Linked DNA regions of Caenorhabditis elegans. The protein of the gene in region 3 interacts with the protein of the main gene of each other region in a pairwise test. Each region holds a gene or a part of one and is shown on either strand. Other genes may lie near its edges.

Evidence for each region. The genes of interacting proteins can lie anywhere in the genome.
Region 1: the proteins of csp-1 (region 3) and ctg-1 interact in a two-hybrid assay, tested with the Caenorhabditis elegans proteins (one large-scale study listed by BioGRID).
Region 2: the proteins of csp-1 (region 3) and pmp-3 interact in a two-hybrid assay, tested with the Caenorhabditis elegans proteins (one large-scale study listed by BioGRID).

What each region holds. Positions count from the first base shown.
Region 1 is NC_003279.8:7,002,597-7,010,661, reverse strand, and holds ctg-1 (Protein ctg-1), read right to left. Parts: upstream 5,220-8,065; 5' UTR 4,943-5,219; coding exon 4,881-4,942; intron 3,833-4,880; coding exon 3,670-3,832; intron 3,415-3,669; coding exon 3,229-3,414; intron 2,948-3,228; coding exon 2,790-2,947; intron 2,747-2,789; coding exon 2,659-2,746; intron 2,419-2,658; coding exon 2,171-2,418; intron 1,889-2,170; coding exon 1,722-1,888; intron 1,676-1,721; coding exon 1,596-1,675; 3' UTR 1,462-1,595; downstream 1-1,461. Other genes in the region: chd-1 (Chromodomain-helicase-DNA-binding protein 1), read left to right, coding at 1-123, 170-335, 614-1,086, 1,136-1,156. UniProt on the Caenorhabditis elegans protein: Vesicle trafficking protein. Functions in uterine cells to promote basement membrane (BM) mobility and BM gap formation during tissue remodeling.
Region 2 is NC_003283.11:14,643,904-14,653,699, reverse strand, and holds pmp-3 (ATP-binding cassette sub-family D member 4), read right to left. Parts: upstream 6,962-9,796; 5' UTR 6,948-6,961; coding exon 6,899-6,947; intron 6,511-6,898; coding exon 6,218-6,510; intron 6,168-6,217; coding exon 6,028-6,167; intron 5,639-6,027; coding exon 5,122-5,638; intron 2,733-5,121; coding exon 2,641-2,732; intron 2,164-2,640; coding exon 1,847-2,163; intron 1,520-1,846; coding exon 960-1,519; intron 909-959; coding exon 810-908; 3' UTR 235-809; downstream 1-234. Other genes in the region: rfc-1 (Replication factor C subunit 1), read left to right, coding at 7,955-7,988, 8,045-8,112, 8,159-8,263, 8,314-9,082, 9,132-9,451, 9,505-9,796.
Region 3 is NC_003280.10:13,599,157-13,607,071, reverse strand, and holds csp-1 (Caspase A subunit p16), read right to left. Parts: upstream 5,869-7,915; coding exon 5,866-5,868; intron 5,616-5,865; coding exon 5,487-5,615; intron 5,240-5,486; coding exon 4,890-5,239; intron 4,529-4,889; coding exon 4,387-4,528; intron 4,124-4,386; coding exon 3,985-4,123; intron 3,068-3,984; coding exon 2,814-3,067; intron 2,770-2,813; coding exon 2,563-2,769; intron 2,518-2,562; coding exon of another isoform or gene 2,517-2,517; coding exon 2,415-2,516; intron 2,371-2,414; coding exon 2,134-2,370; intron 2,063-2,133; coding exon 2,015-2,062; downstream 1-2,014. UniProt on the Caenorhabditis elegans protein: Cysteine protease which, in vitro, cleaves itself and caspase ced-3 into their mature active forms. Also cleaves, in vitro, inactive caspase csp-2 isoform b.

The DNA.
Region 1 (8,065 bases), on a different chromosome or scaffold from region 3:
GGAAAAAACTTACAAGTTCGAGTCGATTATTTGTTGAAACTAATGTCCAAGGATAAAGTGAAGACAACGGAAAAAAAGGAAAGAAAACGAAAGGCAGATGATGTACCAGTTGGACCAGAAAAGGTTGGAATTTAATGTCTTCTTATTGAATATAATTTAAATTTTTCAGAAGAAAAGGCATACGAATAATGTTCCTCAAGAGGGAGAAAAGAAGAAAAAAGAAAAGAAAGAAGAGAAAAACAGCAGCAGTTTGAAAGATCAGCTAGCTCTTCTTTCGATTGATAAATCTCTTTATGGAGGTGCTCTAGAGGATAGCAGTGCCAAGCCATTCCTAGGTAAAAACTTTGAAAAAATATTTCAGAACTTACAGTATATGTTCTAAGACATTCAGATATGAATTTGACTGCAAAGAAATGTGGATTTTTAGAAAAAATAGTATTCTTAAATTAAACTTCATATGTCTGAAATTCGAAAAAAAATAATAATAACAGCTCTGGCTTCTAATCATCCTATATTCATTTATGAAAGTCTAAGAACATCTATTGTAAGTTGAGTTGAAATTAACTCCAAATCTATTCCATTAAAAAAATCAAAAACGTTTATGAATTTTCAGAATGTGTGAAGCTTTGCATGCCGGTACATAAATACATGAAAAAACTGAAGGAAGCGCAGGAAGCCAAAAATCAAGCTGACGAGGCCAAATATCTTACCCGACTCGGCGACTCGTTCCTTGAAAACCTCGAAACTCTTATAAAAAAGAAGCCAAAAACAAATATTCGAAAATGGTATAACTATTTGTGGATATTTCTTTGCAAGTTCACTCTGAGAGAACCTGGAGAAATGGCTGACCGATATAGAAGTATAACTTCTGATAAACACAAAAATCACCATCACCATCACCATCATAAGAGTAAGGAGGAGAAGCCGAAAGAAGCCAAAGATCACAAGGAAAGGGATCGAGAGAAGGACAGAGAAAGGAATCGTGGAGAAAGGCGGATGGATCATGGTGAAGGAACTAGTAAGGACCATCATCGGGAACATCATAAAGATCATCACAAGGATCATCACCATCGGGAGCAACATAAGGTATTCATTAAGAAAACAACAACATTTTTTTGATGTTTAATATTTTCAGGAGAAAAACCGCCGACATTAGTCTAACTCCATCTTTTCGTCTACCTGCACACACTACACTCACGGGTTCTTCGTAAACTGCGATATAATTTCCATCATCCCGTTTCTCTTTCCCCAAAACATGTCAATTTTTAGTTTTCAAATTCGTTGTTGATAAATAGAAATTCTTATTCATTTCTAAATGATATAATCCTAATTTTGTCCGTTTATTTGCCATTCCTTATCCATCTAGCTCGATTTCTTTTCCTGTTTTCTTTGGTCGGGTTTACTTTTTTTTGTTTTTATTTCAAATGTTTATCACATTTCATCTTTTTTTGTTTCCTTTAATAATGATCTGTTTAATAGTCTTATTAGCTACAAAGCGTGATCTTTATATAAAATTAATATAATCATTAGTTTTGAAAATTGTAAATAATTATACATTATTATTATCAGCGTTATCCTCCGATTAACATTAGAATTTACAAATCTTCGATTTCAATATTGTAGCGCAATTGCTTGGCAGAGAACCACGAATAGTAGTTGTCGAATTCGAGAACATCTGAACGCTTGAAAAGTTGAAAATATAAAAAAAAGAAGAAACGAACAGTTTCCAACATCAGTCACATCGAGATGTCCTGTGATTGGAACATTTGTACATTCGAGACGAATATATGGATAAACAGTTTCCATTTCAGTTAACTTATCACATGATCCTGTTTTATCATAATGAATTTCAAACCCAATGTCATCTTCATCAGTCATATAGGTCCAGCTGGAAAATATTTTATTACAAAATTTATCACCGAATATTCTAGTAAAACTCGAAATTTATTTATTTATTACAGTCATAATTTTGGCAGATGACCGCAAAAAATTATAATACATGATCTGATTTAAATACGTTTTAATAAGGCGTTCAAAAATGTTGAGCATTGAATTTTAAAACAACCTAATTGTTTAAAGTTTAAATTTGGCAATTTTTCAAGAATATGCTTTTAAGATACATGTTGAAAATTTGCAAATATTTGATCCACCACAAAAACCCATTACAAACCTTATCCGGCTTGGACGTTTCACTTTGATCTGAATTAAATGTTTATCTCCTGCGTAAACTGTAGTCAATTGATCGTAGTCAGCCATCGCCTTTTTTGGATCCACGAAATAGCTTTCATCGACAGCGCCACCTCCGTATTTGATACGTGACGGACATTTTGGGTCACCGTTTTCGACGAGATTACCTCCCCAATACATTGGCCATGCATCGAGGTTTACGATTTGAGCAAGAGACCATTTCCAATCAGACTGAAAAATATTTATTGATTAAAGTTCAATTCAACGTTTAATACGATCTTTGATTTTCCTTATTAAAAAAGTTCTAACGATTTTATCGAAGAATTGATCTAGTCTTATTCAGTTGTAATATTTGTATTAGGAAACCAAATAAGTCCTTGGACAAAAATCATAGATAATCTTAGAAAACATAATGAAAATATACACTTCAAAATTTTTTGTTGGAATTTTTTCAAAAATAAAAAATCTTACCTCGGAAGGCATTTCCACGAGGCGAGTGATCGGATCTTGAAGAATTGCCGTAATAGAAGCGTACGCAATTCTAGCCATTTCTGGTGCTCTGAAATGTATTCATTTATAACAAAGACGTAATTATTACTAACCTGATAATAAGAATCTTCCGAAGAAACAATGGGTAATGATCTTGGAAAAGACTGACAAGAGTTGTAAATGATGAAGCAAACTGTTTGCATGAAAAATGAGCAGATGTGATATTTTCCAAATCAAAGACTAATGTCATTTGTTCGAATGGACGGCCGGACTGCAATATTTTGTTTTTGTAGGTCAATGCATTTGTTTCCAAATGAAAACATATTGTTAAAAAAACACCCTAACTATTTCAAATTTTTCTAAAATTTCAGGTAACTTCCAAATTTTCAGAAATTTAGAGCACTGCCAAATAATCGAACACCAACAATGTTTAGATAAAAGTAGTGAAATCATACTGAGAAAATAAAAATCGTAAAAAAAAGGGACTCATTTTCAGCCAGAAAATAATTTAACTTATAATCAATACACTTCTCAAACATTGAAAGAACACACCTCTTTTGCTTTTTCTTCACAAAGTTTCATTCCTTTTTCAATTGCAGCCAATGAGAATTTGATATAATCCAATGAAGCAACTGATCTCAAAAGTCCTTCAACATCCACATTTCCCAACAGTGACATAAGGATTGGACGTCCTTCTGTGTCTCCCAGCAATCCATAACCACAATATTTTTCTAGACACTGAAATTAAATTTATATTCAATCAGCAGCTTTCCAATCAAAACTTCAATGTTTTCATACATTTTTCTCCTTAGCTTCTATGATTTTGATCAACTTTGCCCCTTTCTTTTCAAAATTGAATTATAAAATATCTGACAAATTTTATTTTTCAACGTTGTAATTTTTGGATCTTTATCTTATGAATGATAAAATCGTTGAAGCTATATAAAAGTGATGTATGATCTATAATGATTCATTAAATTCATCATCACTTACTTCTGGAGGAGTCCATTGTTCAATTTTATCAAGATGCCAAGCATTACGGAATGTCACATGCTTCTTTAAGCTTTCAGCAGTTTCATCAAATCGTCCTTCTTTTGCACGGAGCCAGCGGAGCACATAACCATCGTTTAAATTGTCTATTTGTGGAACTATTGATCTAAATATTGAACATTTTCTTTCCAATTTTTGTGAGTAATGTAATTTTTAATTGTTCATAAATTCAGTAGCTTTCTGAGTCTATACTGCATGACTAAAGCTATCAAATTTAGAGTAGCATCCGTGGGGAAAATGTTTAGAAATTTTTCTATGGTGCGAAAATGACCAAATATCATAGCAAAATTTTTCAAGTTCTTTTTTTTTGAAATTTTTGTCTTTATAATCAAAACGTAGCAATTACCCAGTCTTCATCTATCATAATTTTGGAAGCAAATCAAAAAAACTTTTTTTCAATTTTTTAAACGTTTTTTATATTTCAAATGTGCTCCCAGTATTTGTCTTCAAATATTATAAGCAATTGAAACAAGCGAATTGCTCAAAAATTCTTTAAAAGTACTCATTTTCAACGAAAATTTGGCAATTTTACAAAACGTTGACTGATAATTTTTTAGAGTGTTTATGAAAAAAAATTACATTGTTTGGGAACAATTTGTGAGTATAAAACATTTGAAGACAACTTTTCCGGGATATTCTATGATCTCATCCAAAACTAAGGCGGGGGATTCACCATCGTATAATTATTTTAACAAGGTCGTTCACAATTCTTGTGGGAAGAATGGACAACTTATTTATTGTATGTGACAATGAAAAATCTTCTGAGATTGGAATTTAATATGTTTTGAAACAATTTGAATATAAAAGTTCAAAGTAGAAAGTACGCGAAAGTTGAACGGATATTACAGAAAAATAAAAAGATGTTTATACGGTGATTACTACATGGAAGATCACAATCTTACCCAACTTTGTGAATTTGGTTGAAAACTATTGTAAGATTGAATATATTTTATTCTAAAGTTCTAACAGTTACTACGTATCTGTAACTCAAAATCTATTCAAAGAAGGTATTCAGTGAAAATTTTCAAAAACAAGTAGTTTTTTTTAATTTTCGAAAAAAAATTACGGTTTCTTTATAAAGATGTAAAAAATTCCTAATCGGAATAAAATTGTAAACGTGTAAATCAATATAAAACGTGTCAAGACCTGTATACCTGAGATCTCGAATAGTTTGCTGTTCGATGGACGTTGCAGCGGCAGTCGGCGACACCAACATTACTCGATGCAATGAATGAATTGGACGAGATGGAAGAAAAGACGAGATGGGATTGAAAAAGAAGAAAAGAAGAAGGAATAGGCGGAATGTCTGTCCACTCTACACTCAATCTTATACTATTTCTCAGTTACTGTAGTATTGTCTATGTTGTGTAATATCTCCGCAAATCTGTCGCATCGGCCCCCGTGTCTCGTCCAGCAGCAGCGCCGGTCACCGCCTTCGTCTCTTCCGAAGGCCTCTTGTAGATTTCAATCGTTGGTGAGGAACGAGAAACAGCCTAAGGAAAAGAATTGCAGGTGTCATCACATGGTTTTTGTGATTTTTGGAATGAATATCAGGTCTTGGAAATAACACCTAACTTGACAAAGTATTCAAATATAATCGGCCAATCTGTCAGGAAAATTAATGTTGAGTGTCGTTGTAACACTTATTTAAAAAACCGACGTGTGTTGAATGAGAAAAAAAGCGTTTTGTGCGTTTGGCACAGGCAATCTATCCCATGCTCACATTTCCCATGCACACATTTCCCATGCTGACATTTTCTCCCGTGCATACAAAATATTCCCATGCTTACGCCCAGTAGTTCGAGTACTCCCATGCCTACAACTCATGTTTTCCCTTTTTTCCGTTCCCATGCTGACATTCTCATACATACATTTTTTCCGGTGCATACAAAATTCCCATGCTTACATCCAGTAGTCGAACGTTCCCATGCTGACATTCCCATATTTTAACATTTTTTTTTCTCTCTATTTTGTAGGATATCATTAATTCGGTGAATTCCACAACTTTGAATGTTCATATTGCTGTTTCCGTGCAGTTATGAGTTTCGCAGTGTCTTAGGAACATTCCATTTTTTGTTGCATTTTGTAGGAATTCGGAGCTATCTTATAATTTCTACAAATTAGAAAGTCCATTTTGCATTATTTCATGTATCTCAAACCTATTGCTTCAAAAATAGCACAGAACGAATGTTGATTCTGTTTCTTTCATTAAAAAATGTGCTACTGTGCATTTTTTTTTCCCACTTCTACGACTTTAAAGGCGCGCGAATTTTCGCGCAATAATCTCGCCACGCGCATCCCATTGATTTGTTGAGCGCTGGCGAGACCAATGACGGGACCATTTTGTATAAATCGCGCGCCTTTAAAGTCGTAGAAGTGGGAAAAAATGCACAGTAGCACATTTTTTAATGAAAGAAACAGAATCAACATTCGTTCTGTGCTATTTTTGAAGCAATAGGTTTAAGATACATGAAATAATGCGAAATGGATATACTAATTTGTAGAAATTATAAGATAGCTCCGAATTCCTACAAAATGCAACAAAAAATGGAATGTTCCTAAGACACTGCGAAACTCATAACTGCACGGAAACAGCAATATGAACATTCAAAGTTGTGGAATTCACCGAATTAATGATATCCTACAAAATAGAGAGAAAAAAAATTTTTGAGCAAAAAAAAAATTTTACTCTATAGGCAGTCATCCCCATTTTTCTTCGATTCCTTGTTCATAATCGAGAACTAATGCATTTTGAAAAAAAAAGTGATCAGTTGTAACTGAAAGCTGTCAAGTAAGCCTAATACAATGAAAATGAGTAAAAAAATTGACTTTGTTCTCTTCTGGAGCACAAAAATGCTCCATGTCGGCATGGGAATACATTTTTGTAAGTATGGGAACAAATGTTTGTATGGGAATGTCAGCATGGGAACGTTCGACTACTGGATGTAAGCATGGGAATTTTGTATGCACGGGAAAAAATGTATGTGGGGGAATGTCAGCATGGGAACGAAAAAATGGAATAAATGAGGTGTATGCATGGGAGTACTTCGACTACTGAGCGTAAGCATCAGAATATTTTGTATGCACGGGAGAAAATGTATGTATGAGAATATCAGCATGGGAACGAAAAAAAAGGAGAAAAATGAGTTGTAGGCATGGGAGTACTCCAACTACTGGGCGTAAGCATGGGAATTTTGTACGCACGGGGGAAAGTGTCAGCATGGGAAATGTGTGCATGGGAAATGTGAGCATGGGATAGATTGCCTTTGGCACAGTGCCAGTTCCCCTTTTCGTTGCTCCCCTTTTCGCAGATCCCCTTTTCGCAGATCCCCTTTTTGCTGATCCCCTTTTCGTTCTGCTCCCCTTTCCGTGGGGCCTCAGGTACGAGGCGTCCATAGTGTGGGGAAAGAACGAGCGAGTTTCTCGCTTCGTGATTGGTCGATTTCAAAAAGTCAATAATCTCCATCATTCATTTTTCCCTCTGTCGACAAATCACTACTTGAATCTGGAAGGTTGGCTGATCAACACTAGAGCTGTAGACGTAGATCAACTATGCAAAAACTGGATGAACAAATATACAGTGGAAGTTGTCGCAGATGGATGTAGTGAGGCAACATTTGCCAAAGTCTACAATTGCACCACGTGGCCATGGAAGAGCTACCCTGATGATGTGAAGAAAGTGCTCGCGTTGGTTCGAGCTCCTGTCAAGGTTGGTAACTATTTCAAATAATTATTGTAAACAAGAATTTTCTTTCAGGAAAGCTCACCAACAGTTGGAAAGCAGCCCCCAGTGATTGTAATGTGTGACCTTGGTCTAGATCGCTCAGCTACTGTAGTGCTCACTTCAATCATCATAGAACAAGTGTTAGATGGGAAAACTCCCGATTGTGATGACTTGTTCAGAAAGATGCGTGATCAACGTGCTGGAGTCTTCACAATGAGCATCTTCTTCACGTATGCCATCCGTGCGGCGCTTTTCTATTTAAAGCTCAAACTTTAATGTCTGAACGAGAATGGAAATGAGGATGTGAAGACAATGATCACAGAAGCTCTGACAAAGGTCCCTGACGAAAAAAGCTAAATACCTCTGTATTTCAATGTTTTCTTTCCTACAATGAATCTTCGACTATCGATTTTTTTTGTTGAAATAAAGTTGTCGTTGCATACAGGGTGACTCATAATTTGATACTCGAGTTGCGCGTACAAAATCTTTTTTGTGAGAATGAAAAATTTTAGGACAGATTAATTATTTTATTGATAGCTGTCACATTTTTCTATCATTTAACATATTGATTCTGAGAAATGAGCGTAAACTGTTTCATACACTATTTGAAGGGGG
Region 2 (9,796 bases), on a different chromosome or scaffold from region 3:
GACGGGTTCCAAATACCAAAAAAAAAACCAATCAATCTCAAAAGCCGACCTCTGATCTCGATTGTGCCAACCGAAACCGGTTTTAATTGTTTTATGGTATTTTTGTTGTTATTTGAAAATCTTCTTGTATACTTCTCAACGGGTACACATCCACTTGACTTGTTCGCTTATCCAAAATAGGAACATGACAATAAAATGATTGTCTTATCAATCTGTTGTACATCAGCTAGAAAAAGATAACAATTGTTTTAATATCCAATTTCTTGAAAGCTTCAAAGGCAGCATAATAATCAAATCACATGCTCATCACTCTTTGAAACTCAAAAAATGACAAACATATAATAACAGCAATTTGTGGGTAATTGGCAATTAAACGGAAATATGAAAAAGATACCAGTATATAAAATCGTAAAAAGGAGGAGAAGGAGCGAAGAAGGGAAAGAATTCGATGTAAGTAAAAAAGGGGGATGAACACGAAAAATCTCCAGTATGAAGCAGCATAAAGCGATATTTTAAAGTTGAGGATAGGAAAGAAAACAAAAGGATATTCACAGAACAAATACAGCAATCTCGAATTTTCAGAGCAAAAAATGCAGAGAGCAAGAAAAATTTGATAAGAAAATTTAAAAGGCGGATATCCATGAAACAAGAAGATTTCGGGGCATATGGGGGTAAAGCTCATGAGGATCTTAAAACAATCATACCTGAAGTAGTAAAAAGGGGATGTCCAAAAGCATGTAAGGGTACTTGGCAGGGAAAATTTGGAATATTCTATTGGGAAAAGTAAAGGAATGGGAGGGGGAACGTGATTACATGGAAAGAACTGTATCGGCACCAAGGAAACTGGCAGTTCGACTAGCTATCGAGGCTGTGTCAATGTCGTGAAGGGACCATTCTCCACTGCGACCCTGCAAAAATTAAAATTAAATGCATTCTTTAGTTTTTAAATTCAATAATACCTTGACTCTAAGTTCCATATCATGGAATTGTTTCAGCGAATACCGATGACCAATTGACACAAATGTGATCTTCTCTTCTTGCAATTTCCTATAAATTGCCATTTCCAGCTCGAATCCAATTGCTGACGTGGATTCATCAAGGAAAACTATCCGTGGCTTCGTATAAAACACTCGAGCCAGTGATAATCTTTGTAGTTCTCCAGGAGATAGTGTCTTCATCCAATCCCATTCAACTGGAGTATCAAGACCACCACATCGTTCGACTAGATGCTCCATCTTCACCCATTCCAAAATTTGAGTGATTCTTGCAACATCCTTATCAACTTGCAATGCTTTGACTGGATATACGATTTGTTGTCGCAGAGTGGTGTTTCCAGATGGGAAATATGGTTTTTGAGCCAGGAAGAACAGATTTGAAGTGAGTCGACGCCAATGACAATCCATTTTTCCTGACGAACAATGCCAAAGGCCAGCAAACATTCGAAGAAGTGACGATTTTCCACATCCACTGTCTCCAGTTATCAGAAGAGTTTGACCTTGGATTATTTGCAACGAGAGCACTGAAATAAAAGCTTTTTATGGAGAAAAAAACAGTTTTCTTTTTTTTTTTTGAAAATTTAGCGAAAAATTGGTTTTATGGTTTTTGACACCAAAAAAAAAACCAAGACAATTTCGTAGTTTGAAGACTTATTTTTTTGTGCATATATTATCTAGAAAAATGTGGTTTTTTAATGATTTTTACGTTTTGATTTATAAATATTAATGTTTCAAAATAAATTCAAAATCGACTTTTTCTTCCAGGTTTTTTGACCGAAACAATCTTTTGTCCCGGCTGTGATTTTATAATTTGAAATCTATGAATTTTGTAGTAGAAATTAAAAACTTACACTGAACTATCAAATGACTATGGTCATTGGGCGGTGAAAGTGTAGCCGAATCTACAGTAATCGCGACACCATCATCCGGCCAATCATCCTCTTGACCAGTTTTTCCTCCGAGTAGATATTGTGCTTCTTCCTCTTCCTGCTCATCTCGTTCCAGAGACATTTGTTTTCCATGAATCTCTTGCATGTGTCGGGACGCTGATTTATCATCTTCATCAGAAGCAATAACGACAACTGAAGATGGTACTGTAGATGGAGGACGATCAGTTTCAAGGCAATCCGAGTGAAGACGATTCAGCTCTTCGTGAAGTTCCATAACACTGAAAATTGGAATTTCGAAAAAAAAATTATCAAACGTATAAAAAGAAGAGTATTGGCGGTTCGACTATTTTTTTTGCACATAAAAATGCAACATATTTTTGATAAATGAAATTTCCTCTTTTTCTCTACATTTAATCCACAATTTTTTCTAGTGTTTCGATTTCCAATTTTTCGTTTTTGTTCAAAAACTAGGAAAAAAATGATGTCAATCTTAAAAACTACAGTAACCCACTCCTAGAAATTTTGCAATTTTTTCAAAGTTTTTTCTCCAAAAAACTTTTTTTTACGAAAACTTTATTTTCGTATTTTTGGTGATTATTGGTGATTTTGCAATCATTTTTAATTTTTCTCTCCGAAAAAAAAAATTTTTGGCGGAAAAAAGGTGCGGTGTTGTTTTTTTTTAAGCGCACAATTTTTCTAAAGTAAATATCAACAAAAAAGTTCTCCATGGGGAGAAATTCACAATTGAAACATACCGATGAGTGACTCCAGCAAGTTCTCCAAAATCTCCAGTGAGTTTTAACACCGTCGAGAAGCTGTAGATGAGGTACAGGTAGAAGAATGCATTCTGAAATTTGAAATTTTTTTATTAAATACGTTTTGAAAATGGAAATTTATCTTCCCTTGATCATTTAAATTTTTCAAATTATTTCTTCAATCCCATTTCAATTGTCATTTAGGATCCCAGTCCAACAATAGGGACGAAAGCGGCAGATGGGCTCAGATAGTTGGAAAGTGATTAATTAGTTTGTGTGCTAGAGGACAATAAATTGGCGACAGAATACGCGACGAAAAAGGGAATAAGCCTCTTGCAAATTAAGACAAGTCGAGAGTACTTTTCAATTTGATCTTTATATATTTTTGATGGATTAGTCTCTTTTATGAGTCACTTATAATTTTCCCCTCAATTTCTTATTGTTTATGAGATGGGCAGGTGGCCATGGGGTACGTGCACATTTGAAACCTCAAAGAAACAACGGAAGACATGTTTTTCCGGAGGTGTGACGTGAAAATTGGTAGCTTTTGGAAGAAATATTTAGTAGAACAACAATATTTGAAGTTTCTATACTTATAGTAAGTAGGCAATTTTATGTCATTTTTAGTGAAATATTTTAACGAAAATCCCATTTTTGTTCTTGACCGATTGTCTTTCACTTTCGAATTTCAAAGTTTTGTTGGAAGAAACCAAGAATTTCAAAAACTGCTATAGAATCCCTTTGGGCATTTAAATTCGAACAAAGTAAAACATCATCAAGTCATTTGGGAGTTGTTTTCTTCTTTTGTCTCCCCTCTTCTTCTTGTAGTTTAATCATCATCATTCATTTAAAAAAAAGAGCATTGATGAGATCATCACATTGTATCTAAATGCTCCAAAAGAGTCAGCTGACATTCCCTCTGTTCCATCACCCAATTCATTTTTCTTTTCTTTTCTTCTTCTGGCAACAAAACGACGGAAGGAATTGGAAGAAGAGACGAAAAAGGAGTGCCGATTGTGTTGTCTTGTGACTGCAGTTCAACTGCTGCTCAGAACAACGACCATCTGCTTCCCGGGGTGACAAGACACTTGAAAGAAAGAGAGACGAGCACCACAAAAATGGATGCATTAGTGATTTTGGATCCTTTGAAATGATCTTAGATTTTTTGAAGAAAGACCGACGATCGGATCTCGACAAAAGTTAAAATCTTCAAGTCACTACTACCCGTTCCACAAGATCCCGTAAGACAGATTTCAGTTCACTTGCCCTAGATATCACATTTCCATTGGTTTTTCAAACTCTAAACATTTCTTTTCTTTTTTTGTAAGTTGATAGGATGCTTCCTGTCAAAGTTTCTGAATTGTTTTAATTATAGTGCACGACTCATTGAGCAATCAAAAGTTTGGAACAATTTCAATATTAACTAAAAGGAAACAGGAAACATGATAGGACGCTTCCGAAGTAAGCTGCTCAATTGTTATGATTATAGTGCTCACTGCATTGCTCAACTCAATGAACAATCATAAGATCAACACAATTTCCAATCACTTTGAATTGAACAGACACCAAAATGCCAGTGTGACCTGATAGATTCTAATTTTTTATGATTATAGTCCTCGATTTACTGAATATTCAAAAAAAGTCGAAAGTAGTATTTTCGGACTCAGCGACACCGGAAACAGCCAACTCATTGTATTCTTCTGTTTTCCATTTTCTTCTTCCCATTACAAAATGCTTTTTTCTTCGATATTCATTCACTAGTTACTACGACCAGATGTCGTTCTGAACTAAGGCGGCAACAACAGCTTGTTTTTAAGAGTATAATGATGGCCACTTCAACGACCAGGTACTTTGGTTTCATTTGGCATCGTTCCCTCATCCGGAACAACCAGAAATCTCAGTCTGACGAAAGGGAGAGAGAGACGATACGAATTGAAATGTGAAACGGATAACTAGCATCCATTATTAATGCACTAGAGCATGCGAAATTGACTCAATCAGTGTCGAGATTTCGAGAGTCAGAATGAAAAGAAAATACTCGCTCGCCGCCGCGTCAGGAGACGAATCAGGAAATTCTATCGAAACTTTGGAAAGTGACAGGAAGATGAAAGTTTCAAAAGTGGGCATAAAAAAGTCTTTCGATGAAAAATTAGATTTCTAAAACATTTTTTACATGATTTTAGAAATTTAAAATTAAACTATTAAAATTAAAATTTAAATCCTTTGAATGAATATTTCAGAGATTTTAAAGATTTTTAATTAATAGAATTTTTTTAAAACATTTTTTTAAAATTTAGCTCGATTTTGAACATTTTGTTTTTAATTTTAGACAGATTTAGACGAGAATTTATTACATTTTTTTCTGCATACTTTTTGCTTTTTGTCTTCTTATCAGTATCGAATTGCATCGAAACATCGATGATCAAATTTTGAGCTTTGCATCTTTTTTTTCAGATATCTTTTTGAAAAGAAACAACTTACCCGTGAAACAATTCCATTCAATTCTGCAGGTGAAACGTCGTCATAGAGATGAGTGATGAACACGGGAACACCAATGATAAGATACGAAAGAATTCCACCGAAATAATCGAAAACATTCGTGATACTGTTTAGAACCATTCTCCATTCAGTTAGCGATTTTTGAGTTTCAATTAAATTTTTTAATTTTTGATTCGTCATAATATTCTCCAGAACACCAGCACGATAGAAGGCGATTGCTTCGACATTCGAACGAACTTCCATATGTCTTTGTCGGAAATCTCCTTCCATTTTCTCCTGTTCTGATACTTTTTGAACAATCGGAGACAAAATCATCTTGTTGATAATTGTTTGGATACAGAAATAGGTGTAGATCGCTGCGGGACCAATCCAACCGGAACTTTCATAAGTTAGCCATGTGTAATATCCAATTATGAATGGAGCTGTAGCAATTGGAGCTAGAAGATCATTGGAAAGGATTCGAGTGGCTTTTTCAATATCTTGGGTTAGACGTTGATCTCTGGAAAAATATCGAATTTAAATAATTTAAATTGAGAGAAAAGTTTTTCCTTTCAAAATTAAATTATCACGATAAATTTTTGATCGTTAAATCTTGTGTTGACATGTTGGTACGCGCATTTTAAGGCATCAAATTTTATTAATTGTTATAATGTGCCTATATCAACAAATTAACGCGAAATAAACAGCAATAAAATATGATATTTTTATTCTAAGCTGTATTTTAGCTGTTGCGACAATGACAAGTTGAACAAATTTCAAATTCTAGCTTAACTTGGTTTTTTCCAAATTAAGCGAAAAATCTAAAAACTCATAGTCAGCTTTTCAATTAAAAGAAAAATTGTAAAATATTATTTGATTTTATAAAATTAATTTATATAAAAAACTTACGGATTATCAAGCATATCCCCAGAAGAAGATAGCTTGAAGAAAGCTTGTCTCTTGAAATATAACCTATGCATCGTGAGATTACATACTTGACGACTTTTGATCGCTAACATATTTGTAAGATATTTGAATACTGCTAATGTCTGAAATTAAACGCTAATTAGGATGAGAAAATATCGAATTTCGATCTTACAAAAGCTTTTCCAAGAATAATCGCGGCTCCCCGTGCACACAGAATTTTAAACGTGTCAGCATCCTTGTTTCCCAGTGCCACGTAGAACAGACTTGGCTGGATTCCAACTAAATACGTCATTACTTGATCGAGAGCAGTTGCGATGAGCAGTGCTCCGGCGAGCCACGCGGTTATCGATCGACGATGACATGGAAACAGGATTTTAAGAAGACGCCAGAACCTCCGAAAGAAGAGGAAGTCGAGGGCCAATCTGGCCATTTTGACCGGATTTTGGGCCGAGGCGTTTTTGCGACCTGAAATTTTGTGATTAGGAAGGCTTTTTTCAGAAGATGCCCCAGAAATAGACATTAAGAAGAGGAGGAGTGGAGTTGAATTCAAGAAAAATAGTGAATTTCAGTGGAGATTTTAGACAAACTTGAAGCTTTTTTTATGACTGGACAATTCTACTGAGATCAACCGGAGCAAAAAACAAAGCATTTTTCTGGAATTTAAAATGTTTCAAGGAGAATATTTAAGACAACCAAACACCATTCAAATCCGAAACAAAAAAGAAAAGAAACGTAGGCCGGCCATACCATCCCATTCAAACCAAATGAGGTCGATAAAGGCGTTGAAAAGAGCACAAAGAAATGAGCACAGAGACGTGGACAATGAAGAACAGAAATGGATAATGATTATCACCTTTTTCTGTTCGTACTTCTTCCAGTTGAATTTCTTGATCCGACTCCATGCGGGATGTGCAATCTGGAAAGAGCTGGCTGTGAGTGAACATGCAAAAACATAATTTATATTTACAATAACAATAGAGATAACGACGATCAAAACAAAACTAAAAAACAAAAGCTATTCAAGGTGCTGCTGAGTTTTTGTGCATTGATAACAATTCAGTTTTACAGAAAAAAAAACAGAAAATGAAGCTTTCGGCATAAATTATTACAATTTTATGTTCCAAACATAAATAAACAGACTATAATGATTCGAATATTTTGAGAAAAAGCTTCAGTTTTCGACGGTTTTGCAGGAATAAGTTCGGTCAGCTGTACACGCAAATACATTTGCGTCCGCACACAGTGTAACGAGGAGAGTGGGGGACAGGAGAAAGTGAGGCAAGCGGAAAGAGAGATTGCAAACGCAGACGATGAAGAAAAAAATGATGGGCGGGGAAGCATTGGGCACTTTTTGGGGGAAAGATGAGGACCCTTTGATATTCAGAATTTTATATTCAGATTTATAACGTGATTCGTGCGAGGAGAATTATCAGTTTTATATAGGATCTTTGAGTTGAAATAAGACGAGAATTTAATTTTTTATCAACAAAAAATCGGGAAGATATGTAACGAATTTCTTGAACGGAAAATAGCAAGGAATCTTAAAAATTTATGAAAAATAAATTGCAATTTTCATACTGTAGAAATTAAAGGGACATTACGAATAAGCCGAATAAGGCCTCGGCACGATTTCAAAAATGCAAATACGCTCTGTTGGAATTTGCTTTTCCCGCTCAGTTTTTTAAATTTTAAAACTTTTTTTTTCATTCTTTTTCATTTTGGCTCCTCAAGATTGTTCCTGCTTTTCGATCGTTTTTTCGAAACCGAAAATTACGAAAATACACCCAGATTTTGGCGATTTTTGTAAGCCTTTCTATAGTTTTTAATCCCCAACAAAAATTATATTTTTTAAGCCGACGGAGAGAATCCAATCCCTCGACATTTACGGAAGATCGCCTCAAAAAAGGAAATGAGTACAAAAAGAAAGATTGTGGTTTCTTCGGGTAAAAAACAAATTGCATTCTGTGCAAATGTGTATTACGAAATTTCTTTTTTTAAGATTCCGATGATGATATGCCATTCACCCAGGAAAAGCAAAAGAAGGCAGCGACACCGGCGAAAAAAAGGGTTCGGAAATTCATGTGAACTGAACCCTCATTGAGAAATGTTTCAGACAAAGCCAGTAGTACTAACCGATGACGACGAAGAAGAAGAAAATGCACCTCAAAAAAAGACTGCACCAAAAAGATCGAGAAAGCAAGAAAAAGAAGAGAGCGATGTGAGAAAGCACTCTAATATCCATGAAATATCGCAATAATTAGCTTTTAGATAACCTCTGACGAAGACGAGCTCGTGCGCGGAACTGATGAAAAAAAGAAAAGAAAGGGTGGAAAAAAGGAGTTACCAGTTGGTCAAAAAACGCTGGATTATATGTTCAAACCTTCTTCGTCATCTTCGAAACGTGATGATCCTAAGAAAAAAGTCGAAAAAACATTAGTGAATCCCGCAGACTTCTTCAAAAACTCACCAGCGCCATCTGCATCAAAACTTCCAAAAGTTGCTCCGAAAACTGTTGAAAAACCAAAAACGCCAGCTAAGAAGCCAGTGGAGATCAGCCCGTCGACCAAAGAAAACACTAAAACAAAGAAAGTGTCGGACGATGAGTTCGTAGATTCTGATGATAGTTTTGACACGTTCACTCCTATTACTGTGAAAAAGAAGACACCTGAAAAGAGAAAGGAGACCCCGAAAAAGAAAGAGCTTCCTTCTGTCAAAAAAGAATTCCCAAAGAAGCAATCAATTCCTGTCAAAAAAGAAAAAGAAACTCCACAGAAAAAGGCGTTATCAGTGAAAAAAGATCCACCGAAAGTAACCTCCGAGTCATCTTCGTCGAGTCAAGTTTCCACGTCATCAGTCGTTTTTCAACCGAAACCAAGTGGGCCACCCCCAGCACTTTCATGGGTTGATAAGTATAAGCCGAAAAGGATGGGAGAACTTGTTGGCCAGAATGGAGACAAAAGCCCAATTAATAAGCTTTTGGAATGGATTAAAGACTGGGCAAAACACAATCTTGGCGAAGGGGCAAAAATTAAGAAGCGTAAGTAATTTTATTTCTATTTTATTATAATATTATCGGCAATTTTCAGCAAAACCAGCTCCATGGATGTCATCTCAAGATGGTACATCATTCAAAGCAGCTCTTTTATCGGGTTCTCCTGGAGTTGGAAAGACTACATGCGCCTATATGGCTTGTCAACAACTGGGCCTTCAACTTGTCGAAATGAATGCATCAGATGTGCGTAGTAAGAAACATCTCGAAGCGAAAATTGGCGAACTCTCTGGTTCTCATCAAATTGAGCAGTTTTTCGGAGCGAAAAAGTGTGCTCCACAAGATAATCAAAAGGTTCATCATATCCTGATTATGGATGAAGTCGACGGAATGTCTGGAAATGAGGATCGAGCTGGTGTGAGTTTAAATGAAGAACTAATATATTAATATTCAAATGTTTATTTTTACAGATCTCTGAGCTCATCCAAATTATCAAGGAGTCTAAAATTCCAATTATTTGCATTTGTAATGACCGGCAGCATCCGAAAATTCGTACACTGGCCAACTATTGCTATGATCTTCGTTTTCCAAAGCCACGTGTCGAGACTATTCGTTCTCGGATGATGACCATCTGTTCTCAGGAAAAAATGAAAATTGGCAAAGAAGAATTGGACGAAATTATCGAGTTATCCGGTCATGACGTCCGGCAAACAATTTACAACCTGCAAATGAGGTCAAAGGGAGTTGGAGCAAAGATCAACC
Region 3 (7,915 bases):
ACGACATTCGCACGTTTTTTTGGCAAACACTCTTTGACTACCTTCTCTTTGACTACCTTTTGCTCTTTGACTACCTTTCGGCTCTTTGACTACCTTTTGCTCTTTGACTACCTTTCGGCTCTTTGACTACCTTTTGCTCTTTGACTACCTTAGATCTTTGACTACCTTTCGGCTCTTTGACTACCTTTTGCTCATTGACTACCTTAGATCTTTGACTACCTTTCGGCTCTTTGACTACCTTTTGCTCATTGACTACCTTTGCTCATTGACTACCTTTATCTAATTTTTCAGAATTTTCAGTTTTTTTCGCTGAAAAATCAGAATTTTCAATAACATGTTACTTTTTGATGTCTAAGAAGGTCGTGCACTTTCTCATTTCCTGAAATTCCGGAAAAAATGGAGATGAGATCTGATGTATAAATGCTCTTTGACTACCTTCAAATGATCTTTGACTACCTCTATCTAATAAAATTTTCCGAAATTTTTTTTGAAAACTTTTCAAAATTTGATCAGAAAAATGCAATGTTTGTAGTTTTTTCTAGTTTGAATGTTCTGCACACGATTGCAGACGAAAACCTGAGGTTTAGTAGAACACCTAAGCTCAAAAAACGTACTCACTTCGGATGCTGATATCTCCGTGGAAAATTTTTTTATGATTTTATGATATATAAAGTGATCAACTACAAAGTTGTTTATCTTAATATAAAGTACAACTTTGTAGTTAATTGTTTTTTATCAAAAAACTTGTTGGTCGAGATAAAGTTGTGTAAAGTTCGGCACCTTCATGCTTGTATTTTCTTCTTCTTTTTCTGTTCATATCTCATCCAACCAATTTTTTGATAAAAAACGATTAACTGCAAAATTGTACTTTATATTAAGATAAACAACTTTGTTGTTGATCACTTTGTCATAAAAAATTATTACACGGAGTTATCAGCATCCGAAGTGAGTGCTTTTTTTGAATTTTGAGGTTCTACTATACCTCAGGTTTTAGTCTGAATTCGCGTTCAGAACATTTAAACTAGATAAACAACAAACATTGCATTTTTCTATAACATCTGATCAAATTTTGAAAAGTTTTCAAAAAAAGTTTTCAAAAAAAAATTTAGAAAATTTTTGTAAGGGGTACCCTTTGGATTTTTTTTCATAAATCGAAAAAAAAACATTGAAACCTAAAAAAACCAAATGTTTTTGACACTATCGCCAACAACATTTCAGTTGGACACATTTTATTGCAAAATCTCATTGCCAACTATCCTATGCTGACACCTTTGAAATATGCTTATGCTGACGTTTTGAATATGCTTATGCTGACGTTTTGAATATGCTTATGCTGACGTGCGCTTATACTGACAAGAGCTCTCACGAGAATTTCGTGATCCAAAAAACACATTGAAAGCTTATATCAGGACACCTGACGATGTAAAAGAAAACTGAACCTATCCAGATTCGAACCAGCAATGACTGTATCTGAAGACCGTGCGCTTAACCACTACACCAAAAGGGCGAGAGGTACGCGCGTTGACCTGTCTATATATATATTTTTTATCGTAAGTTTGATTTTAACATTGTTCTCTCTGGTGCTACTGGCACTGCTCCACCTTTATTTCTTTGAAGTCACACAGTAGTAAAAGAGCTATGTTGGTAAACGGTAGTAAAAGAGATTCCGTAGTAAAAGAGCCGATTGTAGTAAAAGATCTAGATGTGGAATTCGTAGTAAAAGAGATTCCGTAGTAAAAGAGATCTTGTAGTAAAAGAGATGCGCAGTAAAAGATCAAGTAGTAAAACAGTATTTGCCTGCAGCAAGTGCATCTTGTCCCACACGTTTTTTTTTAATTTTCCAATAATCCACATTAATTGTAATCAATGTTGCAATCTGAAAAGTGAAAATCAGCTAAATCAGAAAATAGGAAACAACTTACGTTTTGAGTTTAAATATTTAAAAATAAGTGAAAGAAGTGTACAGAGAAAACGCAAAGAAATTAAAATTTAATACGAACGCGCTGGAGCGCAGTTACATCGACCTTGAAAAGTGCCATTGTTTGGTGAGCCTGGATAATATCTGAAAAATACTGCATTTAAGATTTAAAAAATACTGCATTTAAGACAGCATTTAAGATTCGGTGAGCCTACCTCTGGGGCTTGTTTTAATACAACGTTCCCTTGAACATTCTCATACTTCGTAACAACATTTCTACCAGTTTCCGTTAATATATCGAGAAGGTGCATAGTTTTTGAATGCTTATTGAAGACTTTACACATGGATTTAATATACCATGTGCCCGCTTCTTCGTCTCGATAAGACGTAAACCCGTCCGTGGTGGAAAACGAGATGATGACGTCGGCGTTCAATGAAGTGAAGGTTCCCGGCTGAAATGCGAAAAATATTAAATCGATTTCTCCTTTAAACAAACCATTATACGTGACATCATTAAATTCCAAAATTTCGAGATTGGAGCACATTTGTCTTCCAAAGCTGGCAGTCCGTCAACGGGAACACCCATGTTCAATTTTCCCGAAAAAAGTTGGTTATTCGAAAAATAGAAAACCGAAAAACAAACCTCCGCGACATGCTGACACGGCAACCCATTTGGGCTTGAGAAGAAGATTTTGATGATACGCTAAATATGTGGATACCTCCATTACATTGACAGGCATGTCATCAATTCCAAAGACACTTCCAGCTCCATCACCATGACTTAATAGGAAGAGTATGATCGAATCGGTATGTGCCATCTCCGCGAATTCCTTGATAGCTTCAAGCATGCTCTGAAAACACAACCCTCAAATAGAGCTTAATAGTTTCACCTTACTTCAGCTTCAAGATTCCGTTTGCAAATTACTGTGTACTGAAGCTTTTGGAACAACTTGGTTAGATTTACTTCGTCTTGTTTCGTTCCGACTCTTCTCTCCATATTCTTGAAGTTCTCGTTACTTAATATGAGGACGGTCCCTCTCGGATTTGAATTCATCTCATAACAATACTTGTGTTTATGGTTCGATTTCTTGGCGTCCGTTCTCGGCATTCGACTCTGAGAGTCATACTCCTCCAGTGAATACGAGCAGTCTGAAAGCAGTTATTTCTTATTATAGATTCAAAAACTATAAATTAGTCGGGCTTGCTGATAGTACAGGAGGACCATAGGTTCTTATTTCCCGCCCATTGTGTAAACGGGTCTCTTGAGCATTAGTTTGAGCAAATGAGCTCCGCCCCTATGGTTAGCGTCGTTGGCTAGTGAAAGCACCTAGGCCCGCCCCTCTTTGTGTGTAGAGAATATTTCCCGTGGTTGACCACCCACATAGTTTCGTTGCGACAGCTCAAAGTTTAGAAAAATACCTTTTTGAGCCGCATCGTGATGGGACACTCGGACACCACGTGGGGTCTTAGCAGAAAACATGCATTTTTCCAAAGCTTTGAGCCATAATAATTTTTAAAAGAAATTTTCAGGACGTCTCATTACGAATTTGGTAGTTTAGGGCCATTTTGGATCTAAAAAAGCTACGACTCAAATTTCGCTGCACCACCTGTTAGCTGCTGATGCCTACATGCTTAAAAGTGAGTACTTTTTCTAATGTTTTTTCTATGGGCACTACAATTTTTGTCCTGAAATCCAAACCGCTTGCAGATGAGCTAGAAAAAGGAGATTTAGACGTTTTTATAAACAAGAGCTGTTTAGAATACATTAGTCTCACAATGCTGTCCTATATCTTGGTGAGCTTATTCTAAAAATAAATTAAAATGCCAAGCCTGAGCCGAGTTTTATGCACTAAAAAAGCCTGGTTTCATTTGTCCCAATCGTTTTCCTATTATTTTTCTTTCTAAAAGCCAATCACTTTTTGGAATTAATGACCTTCTGAATTCTAAGGAAACCCAATAGATGGAAATATGAGAATCGAAATTTAGTGAGAAAGTATCTTGCTTCGATATCTATGATTCTATTAAAAATTTCTTCTAGTTTTTTCGCAAAGTTATTGTTGACTTACCATGGCGGGTTTCAGCTGGGTCATCTAGTTTGGTGGGCTTATCAAGTATCGGTGGTTTCATACTTGAACCCAGACTCGATTGTACATCTAGAAATTCAACTGGAGATGGCTCTTGTATATTTGGATCCTTATTTTCAGTCTGAAATGAATACATATTGTGGTGAAACTACAGAGAAAATTCGGAATATCATGAGAGAACATCACTTTGATCTCGCTTCTCGTCTCCGGAGTCTTTTAAATCAATGTATCATAACATTGGCAGAGAGCGAGAAGTCAAAAGAGGAGAGAAGGAAACCGCAGAGACTTCAGAAGACTTTTAAACATTTTAGAGAGTACTTCGAGAAGTATTTACAGACCCAATACTTCAAAATCAAAAAGTGAATATGAAATGTGCAAACAAACCCTATGATAAGTAACAGGGGGTGTGGATATCCAATGATATGTGAATCCAGAACGATGAGTACCACTTAAGGTCAGAGAGTCGGAAGAGTATGAGATCAATCTTGAGTAGCAGTCTAGTGAAATTGTCGCTTTCGATGTGAACCTGAAAATACTTTAGTACATTTATACTCTTAAATAATACAACATAAATTTGATTAATGATTGTTTTTTAAAACAAATTGGCCATAAGTTTTGTGTTGCAAAATTAAAGTTCAAAATTGACAATTTTATTGGCACGTCGATTTCCAAAAAGTGAAGACCACTTTCTGCATTATGTTGCAATTAAAGTTGGAAACATTTCAAAAGTATTTCGAAAAATATTTGGCAAGTGAATCTGGTGACTCATCTTTGTTCTGAATCAGGGGTGTGCGGCAAATTTGCCGAACTTGCCGAATTTGCCGAGCACGGCAAATTTTGAGATTTGCCGCACACCCCTGTTCTGAATAATTCTTTTAAATACTAACCGGTTCCAGAAATCCACAGAGTCTATTCGAATTCCTGCACCATAGATCATTCTTATCATAGTTTCCTCGTCGAACTCGCATGTTTGAATTGCATTGGGAAGGAGTGGTTGGAACTTTTTCTTCACCGTTTCAATGCAGAGCTCAGATTTAATGCGTCGTTGGAAAACTGCATATATTTCCTTTTGGGAGAAAGGTTCTTTTCTTTTTTCTACTTGTTTTGTTTTGTCTTTAAGGAATTTCAGAAATCGTTCCATTTCAAAATCAATCAAAAATTCATCATTTTCTCCAAGAATTGGCTCTTCTGTATAGGAGCCACTTCTGCATATTTCGAATGTTGACTCGATTTCGATCTGGAAAAATAGAATATGATTTTTCAAAAGGCAAAACTTCATCTTTACAGCTACTTCACATCTATGTGGCCGTGAAAATGAAAAAACTCGGCCATCCACATTAAAATGTGTTCTACCAAAATCTTATTAAGATTATTTCGGCGAGTTTCACATAGATCTGTGATTAAAAAACCGATATAAACTTCTGACCGAGTTTCATTTCTTCTAGGCCAAGTAACTGTGGAGCATCATCGCGAAACTCACTAACCGTATTAAAATCTTCAGTAGATATTGTTGTTGATGAAGACATAGAAGAAGTCGTTTGAAAATTATTGAAATCTTCGACCAAATCATCGTCGAATTGTGATTTACAATTATCTTCTATCGTTTTCAGGACCTGGAAAAACAGAATAAGATTTTTCAAAAGGTAAAACTTTATCTTTATAGCTACTTCACATCTACGTGGCCGTGAAAATGAAAAAACTCGGCCATCCACATCAAAATGTGTTCTACCAAAATCTTATTAAGATTATTCCGGCGAGTTTCACATATATCTGTGCTTTAAAAAAAACGCGATATAAACTTCAGACCGAGTTTTATTTTTCAACACCAAGTAACTGTGGAGCATCATCGCAATACTCACTAACCATGTTTAAATCTCCAGTGGATTTTGATGCTGATAAAGAGATAGAAGAAATTTTTTGTGGTTATTGAAATCATTGACCATATCGTCGTCGAAATGTGATTTTGAATAATCATCTATACTTTTCAGGATCTGGAAAAACAAAATATGACTTTTCAAAAGACAAAACTCTATGTATCTTCACACAAAAACCGAAATCATCGCAAAACTAACTTACCATTTCTTTTTGAATTTTATCATCAGCCAATCTCACTTTCATCTCATCAGCCTCAGATCTCATCTCATCAATTTCATCAGCCAATATCACTAAACTTCGATCCAATTCTGCCTTTACATATTCTTCATCGTCACATAAGAATTCACTATCAAACGTCGACCAGTTGTCCATCTGATTCTCCAATCCCGTTAAACTCCGATCCATTTCCGCCTTTACATCGTCTTCATCGTCGTTCATCTTTCAAAATTTGCAGCGAACAAAACAGCAATTTTAAATACTAGAGAATAAATGATTTAATTTGTAAATTGAACTTCCATGAACTCAAATGTGTTTACACGTTTTTGGCAATATTTTGAAACTCCTTGCAGTTTTAATGATTTTAAAAATATAAAAATTCTCGATATTGGATTTCTTCAAATCAACGAAAAAAAACTTACCCTTCGTGATCAGATTCAGAGCTGTCATGAAGATTGAGATCAACTTCTTGAGTTTCATCAGCAAGTTTCGGAGTTTCAGCCTTGTGTTAACGGACATAAGCCGGTGCCACAGCTTATGGTTAAACATCATGCAAAAACACTTTGATTGTGTGCTAAAGCATTTATTGAGTCGTTGCTGTGCCAGACGACGAGAGCCTTACTTTCGTCCGGCGCCAGCAGGCAAGGTCTTTCTCGACTGAGGATGTTATTCTCTAGTCGGCTTATATACTCGTGAGGGCGTGACGCTCCCTGCTCAGAGACCGCGTGGGCTTGGCCTTCATTCCGAGATGAAAAACTTTTAGGGTGACAAGGTATTTTTGGGGACAAAGTATCCAAAGTGATATGGTATCCAGTCGACAAAGTGCCATTTGTCTCTGACCGGATCTTCGGTGACAAACTTTTTCAACTAGTTTTTTATATATATTTCTCGATCGATTTTTGTTTTTTTTTCACTGGAATAAGTTTTTAAATGCAATTTTCCATGGATTTCCGGCCTTGACTACTCACAATTGAATGTATGAACAATGATCTTTTGGGAAAATGCTGTAAAACGTCCAACTAACTTGGAATATCGTAAGATTCTTCCTTATAATCTGATCCTCAAGCTCCGAAGGATCACAGGGGGTACCTCCTGGTGATCTGATCCTTCAGCTTCAAAGGATCATAAGGGTACCTCCTGGTGATCTGATCCTTCAGCTCCGAAGGATCAGAAGGGTACCTCCTGGTGATCTGATCATTCAGCTCCGAAGGATAAGAAGAGTACCTCCTGGTAATCTGATCATTCAGCTCCGAAGGATAAGAAGGGTACCTCCTGGTGATCTGATCCTTCAGCTTCAAAGGATAAGAAGGGTACCTCCTGGTGATCTGATCATTCAGCTCCGAAGGATAAGAAGGGTACCTCCTGGTGATCTGATCATTCAGCTCCGAAGGATAAGAAGAGTACCTCCTGGTAATCTGATCATTCAGCTCCGAAGGATAAGAAGGGTACCTCCTGGTGATCTGATCCTTCAGCTTCAAAGGATAAGAAGGGTACCTCCTGGTGATCTGATCATTCAGCTCCGAAGGATAAGAAGAGTACCTCCTGGTAATCTGATCATTCAGCTCCGAAGGATAAGAAGGGTACCTCCTGGTGATCTGATCCTTCAGCTCCGAAGGATAAGAAGGGTACCTCCTGGTGATCTGATCCTTCAGCTTCAAAGGATAAGAAGGGTACCTCCTGGTGATCTGATCATTCAGCTCCGAAGGATAAGAAGAGTACCTCCTGGTAATCTGATCATTCAGCTCCGAAGGATAAGAAGGGTACCTCCTGGTGATCTGATCCTTCAGCTCCGAAGGATAAGAAGAGTACCTCCTGGTAATCT